2 linked regions of the Arabidopsis thaliana genome follow. The protein of the gene in region 2 interacts with the protein of the main gene of each other region in a biochemical or structural test. Each region holds a gene or a part of one and is shown on either strand. Other genes may lie near its edges. The genes, in order: TBP2 and HB-1.

Evidence for each region.
Region 1: the proteins of HB-1 (region 2) and TBP2 form a complex in vitro, tested with the Arabidopsis thaliana proteins (one study listed by BioGRID).

The regions. Positions count from the first base shown.
Region 1 is NC_003070.9:20,724,913-20,730,339, forward strand, and holds TBP2 (TATA binding protein 2), read right to left. Parts: upstream 3,180-5,427; 5' UTR 2,916-3,179; intron 2,575-2,915; 5' UTR 2,572-2,574; coding exon 2,495-2,571; intron 2,400-2,494; coding exon 2,312-2,399; intron 2,201-2,311; coding exon 2,129-2,200; intron 2,043-2,128; coding exon 1,992-2,042; intron 1,867-1,991; coding exon 1,822-1,866; intron 1,678-1,821; coding exon 1,585-1,677; intron 1,494-1,584; coding exon 1,392-1,493; coding exon of another isoform or gene 1,362-1,391; exon of another isoform or gene 1,313-1,361; coding exon 1,238-1,312; 3' UTR 1,232-1,237; exon of another isoform or gene 1,144-1,231; 3' UTR 594-1,143; downstream 1-593. Other genes in the region: BCDH BETA1 (branched-chain alpha-keto acid decarboxylase E1 beta subunit), read left to right, coding at 36-131, 223-300, 389-475, 558-593; AT1G55530 (RING/U-box superfamily protein), read right to left, coding at 4,560-5,427. UniProt on the Arabidopsis thaliana protein: General transcription factor (GTF) that functions at the core of the DNA-binding multiprotein factor TFIID.
Region 2 is NC_003074.8:181,701-186,415, forward strand, and holds HB-1 (homeobox 1), read right to left. Parts: upstream 2,704-4,715; 5' UTR 2,335-2,703; coding exon 2,247-2,334; intron 2,201-2,246; coding exon of another isoform or gene 2,180-2,200; intron 2,068-2,179; coding exon 1,928-2,067; coding exon of another isoform or gene 1,915-1,927; intron 1,841-1,914; coding exon 1,601-1,840; coding exon of another isoform or gene 1,589-1,600; exon of another isoform or gene 1,299-1,588; coding exon 948-1,298; 3' UTR 696-947; downstream 1-695. Other genes in the region: MBD9 (methyl-CPG-binding domain 9), read left to right, coding at 30-338; AT3G01475 (uncharacterized protein), read left to right, coding at 1,589-1,755, 1,915-2,041, 2,180-2,200.

The sequences.
Region 1 (5,427 bases), on a different chromosome or scaffold from region 2:
GCAGTAATATTAACTAAGGTCTTGAGTTGATGCAGGAAGGAATATCATGTGAACTGATAGATCTCAAGACACTGCTTCCTTGGGACAAAGAAACCGTTGAGGCTTCAGTTAAAAAGACTGGCAGACTTCTTGTAAGATTTAAGCAATCTTGATTGACAACTTCGGATTTTGATTTGTCTGGTCGATCTTATAGATTGCTTTTGCTTGTGCTTGGGGTTGCAGATAAGCCATGAAGCTCCTGTAACAGGAGGTTTTGGAGCAGAGATCTCTGCAACAATTCTGGAACGTTGCTTTTTGAAGGTTAGTAAAAAGAAAGCTCAAATCATCACCGTTACAAGTGACTACTCTTTATTGGTTCTCCGTTTCTTAACTGTCATTTAAAATGCAGTTAGAAGCTCCAGTAAGCAGAGTTTGTGGTCTGGATACTCCATTTCCTCTTGTGTTTGAACCATTCTACATGCCCACCAAGAACAAGGCAAGTTCCTCTTCTCTTATCATTCCTCTATTCCGACCCAAAACGCAGTTTCTAACATATCATGTGTTCTTGCTTGATGCAGATATTGGATGCAATCAAATCGACTGTGAATTACTAGCCGTACTATCTGTAGTTTACTGTTTACACTAGGACTAATGTAATCGCATGTCTTTGTTATCAATTCGTCTAATGTAACACTACCGATTAACTTTAATGAATTTCAAGATAACGAAAACATGTTATAATAGGACTATCTCACTTAATGTGTACGAAGATTATTATCTACTGAAAGATGAAAGCTTATGATCCAAACATTTGACAAACCAGAGCGGCAAATTGCTTGAAAGAGTATATTAAAGGGCAAACAGACTTGGTGTCTTATTACAGAACAGTTAGCAAAGAACTAAGTAACTCTTTAATGATTGGGTATTGTTCACTGAAACAAACAGAACATGAAACAAGATTACTTGGAAGACATTTTTAGAACAAAAAGAAAAGAGATTTATTGGCATCTCCATTCTCTATTTACAATTTCTGGTTTTGAATCTGAATCATTTCAAGTTCTTGTCCAAGGAATATAACCCCACCAAGCGCCTGCCAACACCCGAGATCTCTAGTTCATGGCAATCCAAACGTGAACATGGTTTTTGCCTTCAATATGGTAGGCTCTGCTTTCGAATCGAAATAGTCATAATCAAACTGTTGATTGATTAAGGGGTATAAAATGTAAATGGAGATAAAGAAAGTTGAACTTACATACTATTATTGCTGGACCTTCCTGAATTCTCTAAGAACTGGGTAGATATTCTCAAATGCGGTATAAGTCTCTTCTCTCATCTGATTCGGGATTTCATAAGATGACAGAAGCATTTTCATGGAAACAATTTTAATCATTTGAGAGAAGTTCAATTATTACCTTGGCTCCAGTTATAACAATCTTTCCTGACACAAAAATAAGCAGTACAATCTTTGGAAGTTTCATCCTATATATCAATCCTGGAAATAGCTCAGGCTCGTACTGGCATCAATGATGAGAGAGGTATGAATCATCAGACCGATTAACACCCATGTTACAAGTATATATGATCACAATGCTTGAGATCACTTACACTTGAGAAAGCACTATGAGAGTATGCAAGACCTTCAAGCCTAATGGGGAATTTGACATCACATGAGCCTACAATGTTCTGTATCTTAAAATCCTGCAAAATGTAATCAGCAATTTTATTACTAGACTTTATACGTAATTTTTCCTTCCGATAAAAATACACACGAATTGTTGATTGAGATAAAAATGAATAACACAGTGTGTGCTGGATCAGGACCAGAGAGAGACATATGAGTACCTTGAACTTTGCAGGAAAGCCAAGCTTTTGAACAATCCGAGCATACTGAACAACAAAAAGGAATTCTTTAATATAACAGAGAACAAATACCTACTAGAGCTGTAACAAGTTTCTAACTACAGTGATGCTAGAAGAAGAACATCAGACAGTATTGAGATGAGCTAGTTTACCTTTCTTGCAGCAAGCTTTGAAAGATGTTCACTTTTAGCTCCGGTACACACCTAATATTGGACAGCATAGATGCCACGTCAAAACAAGGACATGGAAGATTAGGCCATAAGAGAAAAAGTGACAAAGGAAAACATACCATTTTCCCAGAAGCAAAAATTAACGCTGTGGTCTTTGGCTCTCTGATCCTCATGATTACAGCAGCGAAACGCTGGAACATAAAACACAGATTAAAACCAAATCCGAAAATACAAACCAAAGTGGTGGAGACCAAACAAAATGATCGATTACTAAAACACGAATATCACAAAGAAAGCAAAACCTTGGGGTTATATTCAGCATTCCTAGCTTGCAAAGCTATGGCTTTAAGATCAAGCTTGCAGTCTAAGTTCACTGTTGAGACAATATTTCTGAAACAAACCAAAAAAGAAAAAGGTAAGATCTTGTGATTCACAAAAGCACAAACTCAGAATCTTAAAACAGAGACACAAAAGAGAGAACTCACTGAAGAGTAGGAACAATCCCTGAAGGATGTTTAGTAAGGTCAACTGGCTGGCTCCCTTCCGTTCCTTGATCAGCCATTCTCTAACATAAGAATCAACGTAAACACACACACATCAGCTATAAATCTCGTCTTAAATAGGGCAAAACAGAAACTCATGTCGATCCAAACCAACAAGCATCCACGAAACAAAATTGTTTTCAAGCTTTACAATTTCATTGACCAAATCTGGTTATCTAAAAACCAGTTTTGATAATTGAAATCTAGAAACATTGTTTCACAATCAAACAACGAAAAGCTATGAAACACACAACTTCAGAACATGAGATCCAATTCGTAACAAGCAACTACGAAGAAACTCAATTCAGATAAAATCCGTGGAATTGAATCCATTAGGAACAAAGGGTACGAAACAAAATCAGACCTTTCGCTAGTTAGCAATCCGGAATTTCGAAATCTAGGGTTTCGTAAACCCAACAGATTGGAAGAAATTCCCCCGAAAAGGCGAAAGGAAGGTGAATGATTTGAAAAAGGAGAAGGCTTTTTATACAAAGATAAGAAATTTTTAGAGAGGGAAAGAGATTTGTAAATTGGGATTATATATAAAGGAGAGAGTTTTGATTTTCAATATCGCTCTCTGGGTTCTCTCTCTGGGGATGAGATTTGTGATCTGCGCTTTGGATCTGTGGAGCTTAAGGACACGTTATTACCTCTATATACTTTCCTAAACTACCCTTGCCTCTCTTTGTCGGATGAGGGTAATTATGGGAATTCAGCTTATTAGATTTTAATGTTACGGTCTTTACTGGAATTTTAGGGAACCGTCCACTCTTTGTCTGCCACGTGTTCTATTACAGAATGTGTTAGCATACGTTTTTTTGTTGGATCTATATGTAAGACTATAACTCAAGACACGTTCACAAATATGAATCGAGTAGAGACTATGAATCGCCACAACGACGGACTTATTACAAAGCAGTAGATTATCAATTATTGCATGAAGGTGCCAACTAAAACTTGTTAGAGATCATCACTCATCAGTGTCCGGGTCCTTTCTGACGAGTACGTGCCGATTCACTTCGTCTGACACCAGCTTTTAGATTATCAAATTGTTGTGCTCCATTTCCTTCCCCTTAATTTATAATAATAATAAAAAAAGAGATTAAGAACTGAATATGAGTTTTGTTTATGCGTGATTGTATTTGTATGATCAAAGACGGTCACTTACTCGGCAGAGTTCGGCCCATAGTCGTGTTGTACGCGGAGACCAAGAGAATAATCAAAGTGATTAGGGATAAAACCTGACGATTCATTACTTCTTCTTTTGGATTATGACTAATCTGAGAGATAATGTAATAAGTTGATACTACAATACTTATATATATACAAGGAGATTTGGTGAAACGTTAATATATTAGTATATATACTATATCAAAGTTAAGTTCGTTAATGTCAAAAGGTTCGTTAATAGCGCATAAAGTTGGTAACTTTGGTCGCATTTTACACATGTGAACTCTAGCTTTTATAAATTCTAATTAATGTTTACGCGTAAACAAAAGATTACATGGTAATGCAATCATGGATTAACACAAGGAAAAAGCATCACTTCATTAAGTTTAGTAAAAGACATCATATTTTGTTTTGGATGACGACATATTAAACGAGTCGGTCTAAGTAATTAGGCATACAATATTATACAATTCCATTTCATACAACAAAGGTGATGAATGTTAAATTACTTTTTATGTTTAAATTTATAATTTATTACCAACACAATTCGTACTACAGCCACCAATCTTGTTATTTTACCATTAAGGCATTAATTTAACAAACTAAGTTGCAAAAGTGGCTTTGGTTGACAACAAAAAACACACAAGCGACTTACAGAATCCGGCAAAAGATTTGCTCAAAAACAATTAAAAAAACACAAACTGAAAGATATTTGTTTTCCAAAGATGTAGCATTCAACCAAATCTGAGAAACTTATGTACAGACAAAAGATCAGATTTAGGTAGAACCGAGATTTCATGATCACACCAAAAAGCTTATGTTGCTCAGGGAACATGTCTTAACTAGAATCCGTTGGTGCATTGCTATCTTGCGACGAGGAGAACAAGGTGCTAAACGGCCACGGGATCGAGAATCCGCTTCCGTCATTGTTCTCGTTCTCCTCCTCCTCCTCCTCTTCTTCTTCTTCTTCTTCTTCTTGGCGCCGGTTTCCATCGCTGTTCTCAGCTCCATGGCTGGTTGTAGCAGAAGCACTACTGCTTCCATTGTTATCGCTCGTTGTTGTTACTGAATCAGTCTTGGCTTCATCTGCAGGTAACTGATATCTGCAAACCGGGCATGAACTGTGAAGCTCAAGCCATGGTAACAAGCAGTCACTATGAAACTTGTGCGTACAGGGCATCAGCTTTGCCTCAGTTCCAATCTCAAAATCATCTAAACAAACCGAACATTGCAGAGTCTCTTCGATTTTCACAGTAGCCAAAGCCTCGACAGCTTCTTTTTTAGCAGGAGGTGTTCCATATCTGTTGGGATCATTCTCAGCTAGACGTTGAAGCAACATTTCAAATCCAGGACCAATGAAATAGTCACCTAAAGAACCAGCAGGTACAGAATCCATATCAGCAGAGTTTTGAACCGTGATAGTCTGATTGGAGGTATTGATCAAGATCACCCGTCCCGGATTATTACCTCCATTACCAGTACTCTCAGATTCTACAGACAACCCTGCTCGTATCCCCTGAAGCAACTGCAAAACAGCAGCGGAATGTCTTCTCCTTCTCCTGAGAATCTCTTGAAGCTGCCAATCCAAATCATTTTCTCCATCGTCTTCATTGTTCTCGGTCTGTACCTCGTTTTGATTATCTTCAACAGACTCAACACTCTGGTTTCTCCTACGACGCACAGGATCATTCATAAGTTCCATCAAG
Region 2 (4,715 bases):
AATATCTACGCTTTTCGTATTTATTTCAGTTGGTTCAGGCAACAATTGTGGTAGAAGATATGATTAAGACAGAGTACTTGAAAAATGAATGGTGGTACTGGTCTTCTCTTTCAGCGGCTGCTAAAATCTCGACTCTCTCAGCGTTATCCGTCCGTATCTTCTCCCTCGACGCTGCTATCATTTATGATAAACCCATAACTCCATCAAATCCTATCGATGAAACAAAGCCGATCATCAGCTTACCGGACCAAAAGTCACAGCCGGTTTCGGATTCTCAAGAAAGAAGCAGCAGAGTTAGAAGATCTGGCAAGAAAAGGAAAGAACCCGAGGGATCCTAGTTAATTATTAAACCCACGGGAAAAAGAAAACCTCGTGAGCCCAGCCAGGGAGAATGTGAACCGGAAATATGGATTTATTATTCCGGTATAGTCAAAAGTGGAGCCAATGTGTATGTGGTAGATATAGGCAATGTTTCAATCTATCTGGAACCGGACCTGTAAGTTCCGGATGTTGAGATCCGTTTTGGTGGTTCATCATCATAAGAGGCCTAAGTCCTGTTTAGATCTTTTTCTTGGAATGGAGGTTCAACAGGTGGATGAGCCAAGGAAAGTATGTGTACACATATATGTAGAAGACTAACTAGTGTGGAATTAATTAGTATCAAAGTCGCTTTTTAGACATTAGCTGATGTTAGAACGGAAACTTCAATTATTCTTTATAATCTCTCTCTTTCTCTCTAGAGAGGCTTTCTGAAGAAGATCAATCTTTTTAACTTCAAATCAGAACACTGCATTGACTTGATTTCATAAAAGCATATAATGCAACTGATAAAAATACCGTTGAACAGCGGAATTATTCCACGAGTCAACAATTATCGTCAACATGGAAACAACAAGAAGATGACTCTTGAACTTAAATAAACACACATTTATTATCAGAGTGGTTTTCTAAGGCCATCCCCAGAAAGCCAATGATTCACCGTGATGATCGTGCGACGGTGAAGTGGTGGGCACAAAGACGTCGGCGAAACAGCTCCGGTCATTGTCATGATCACTGGCGTTGCTGTTGTCTTGGATGGGTACGATGCTTGGGAAGTAAGAGTCACAGCTGTCTAGTAGTTGAGGTGCGTCGTCGTCTAGTACCGCGCTCCCAACGCTCCCTGAACTTAACCGGTCCTCGGTTTTGATTGCTGCCGCATTAATGTAAACCGGATCAAGTTGGTTTGGTTCGGGCACTTGACCAGGTGGTTCATTAGCTGTCTCTTGTTTGCCCTGAAGCTTTTCGGTCAGGGAAGTAACCTGTCGGGTTGGAAAGATTCTAACTTTAATCACAACGGTCAACACAAGCAACCTCCTCCCATAAAAAGATAATTAAACTCGTTGATTGATTTGATTCCCCAATTTTCTTTCTTTTTCTAGTCTCTCCTCTAATTTATATATATATGATGATGGATTCTCTCTATCAGCTTGTGTTGAAAAATAGGAAAAGCATATTCTCTTTTCACTTGATGCTTTTTTTATTTTTCTCCTTTGGACCAATTAAGGTAAATCATTCAATTTGTAATCTTGTTGAGATAAATAATAGTCCCATGTATAAGTACCTCGGATCTGAGCTTATCGTTGTCCATGACGATGGAGTCGTAGTTAGAAAGAAGTTGGTCGTAAGTGGACTTGAGAAGATCGTAGTCTCTCTCAAGCTGTTTTGTTTTCCAACGAGCTCGGCGATTCTGAAACCAGACAGCCACTTGCCTTGGCTGTAGACCAAGCTTCTTGGCAAGCTGAGTCTTGCGTTCAGGCTCTAGCTTGTTCTCTGTCTCGAAGCTTTTCTCCAGCAGATGCACCTTTTACCATAATATAATGAGAATCTATCAAACTTGTTTTTGAATAGTGGATCGTTAATTATTATTGTGGATAGTGAGAGAATCTACTTGTTCGGTAGTGAGGCGACGCTTCTTTTCAGGCAACTGGTCGTCGTAAAAGTCATCGTCGTAGAGATCCTCAGGGGAGCTAAAGAAGGGCCTTCGCTTCGAAGTTTCCTCCATGTTCATCATCGATCTTGCTCCTCCTCCTTCACAAATTCAAACGAACAACTGCTGTCAATAATCGAATGAGGTATTCATATTCAAATTGGTTCTCATGTGTGTGTATGTGTGTTCCTAACGTTTTATACACAAAAACAGGGGAAATTCACCGAAAAGTAATGTGTTCCAAGATGATGAAATAAGATTAAGAGAGTGAGAAAAGAACCTTGGACGACGGGATTGAGATTCCCAAGGAAGAACATGCTGTTGCCGTGTGAAGCAGATGGATCGAAGAAAAACGAATTGGATTCCATTTTTGATCAACAGAAATAAAACAACAACTACTTCTGAGTTCTGAGAAAGAGGAAACAGAGAGAAAGAGGAAGCAGAGATAGCGAGAAGATGATTAAAAAGATGGGAAGAAGTAGGAAGGATTAGAAGATCATGATCTTATGGCGGAAGAAGCTTGTACTCCATAGTAATCTCGCAGGTGACTCCAACGGGCAGATACAAAATCCCATCATGAACTGCTATTCTCCCCTCCTTTTCCAGAGGGATCAAGATCCAACAAGAAACCTATCTATATCCAATTTTCGAATCACGTTATGATCACGTTAAGAGAAAGAGAGCCAGAGAGAGAGACAAGTTCCTTGTTGGTTTTGTTTTTGCAATGTGAGCGTCTCAGCTAAACTCATTTCCTTCAACAAGCGCCGTCTTTTATACCAACCAGCAATCCTCGTTAAATGACTCTTATACCCTCTCTTTTTTTTCCTACATCTCACACTTTGCAATCAACTGGATTAAATATTTGTGTAGTGTGTCACAGAAGAGCAAATACTATCGAGAATAACTAGGCTACAAATTTCTATCAAATATGTAAGAAATCGTACTTTGCTTAAAAATTTTAAAAATGACATGATGGTTGAATTTACTTATTTTCTTATATAATAAGTACTACTTAAAAACTAACAAAAGTTTTTCAACGAAATCTTGAAAAGGGGCAATTGTGGTAAATCGAAAGTGATTGGCTTGTTTACAAATCGGAAGTGGACTTTTCTGAGCTCTCTGGGGTCCACTTTCTTTAGCGAGTGGACTTGGAAACAGATCTCATCCGTTGGATTTGAATTATACCTTTTCTCTAAAGTTATTTATTATTATTAAAAAAAATAGTTTTATTCAGCTGTGGTGGTTCGGCCAGAGTGTGTTAAATAGGGTTGCATACTCGACGGTCGGGTCAGTGTCGGATCTACGCTTGATCCTCATTCATCTAACGGTCCTCCTCATCCTGTTACTTCCTATTTTGCACAGCCCTGTCACTGTATCACCATGTCATTAAAAAATTCATTAAAATCAAATTCACGTCATTCCTATCTTTTAGTATTTGTTTCTTATTTTAATGCACCTTGACGTCTTTGCACACAATATTAATTTCAAATTATACGTATTGCGTGACTGTTACAGCAAAATTACTCTTTAAAAATCACATTTATATGGTTAGTAACTTTGTTTTACTATTGCTATTTATGAAAAAAAAATATACTAGTATACAACCAAAATTTGGTGAATATCGATTTCATGTCACCTTACGGAGAAAAAGAAAACAGACCAGGTGCATGGAATTGCTTATCGCCGCACTAATTTAGTTATATTAACTTATCATGTTGTTTACACAAGTCCCCACGTAGCTTCGTCCTGTCTTTTTTTTTTGTTTTTCTTACACATTCAGCTATTTTCTCAGTTACCATTTTCATGATCATGTTTTCAGTGATATACGGCATTCATAAATTTATTTTATAAAAATATTCCTTGTTCGTTTTTCATTTCTTCATGACTCTTCAGCTACCCAAACTGCAAATACTCTTTATATATTAGTACACAATACATACATGGGTATGCATCTTTATACGACTTTATCAATATATGCTTACACACATACTATGGATATGTATATATTGTTGATCAAGAAAAAGCATTCCACTTTAATTTGATAGCTAGATTAATGCAATATGAGATCGGTAACAAACTGTCATCCATGATATACGTACATATAACTAAATATGATTGGCCTCTAAATATTAATAATTACACTTTAGTTATAAGAATTTCCTAAATTACTTAACCATCATAATATAACATTTTTGTGCATAACACTTCCTCATTCCACCGTATTTCTTCCGCTGCAGTTAATTATTCAAAATCCTCGTATTCCTATTTTTCGATTCAACGGTAAATATATTAATAAGAATGATGTTTTATATATAAGATATACAGATGTGAAAATATGCTTAATTATGATATTGTCTCCTTTCATTCCATGTGTTAGCCAGTTGGATATCTATGGACCTTTCCAATAAAGGAATATCTTTCAGCATCCATATAAGAATAAAAGAGGTAAAAAAACATTTGATTTAAAAATAAAATAAAATAGTAGTAGTACGTACTGAAGAAAAATTAAAAGATAAAAAGAAATTTGCCGTTCTACGAATGAGTTTTTTTTTTTCACTTATCCCCAAAAGATAACAATCTTACAGACTTACACACACACACAAATAAAAGAGAGAATAAAATTCATAATCATTATATGATTGATATGTAACCCAATTCCAAATTTAAACCTCTCTGTCTTCTAAATAGATTCCAATTTTTTTTCTATTATCACAATTCACAAGCTCTAATTCTACATATATAATATCTT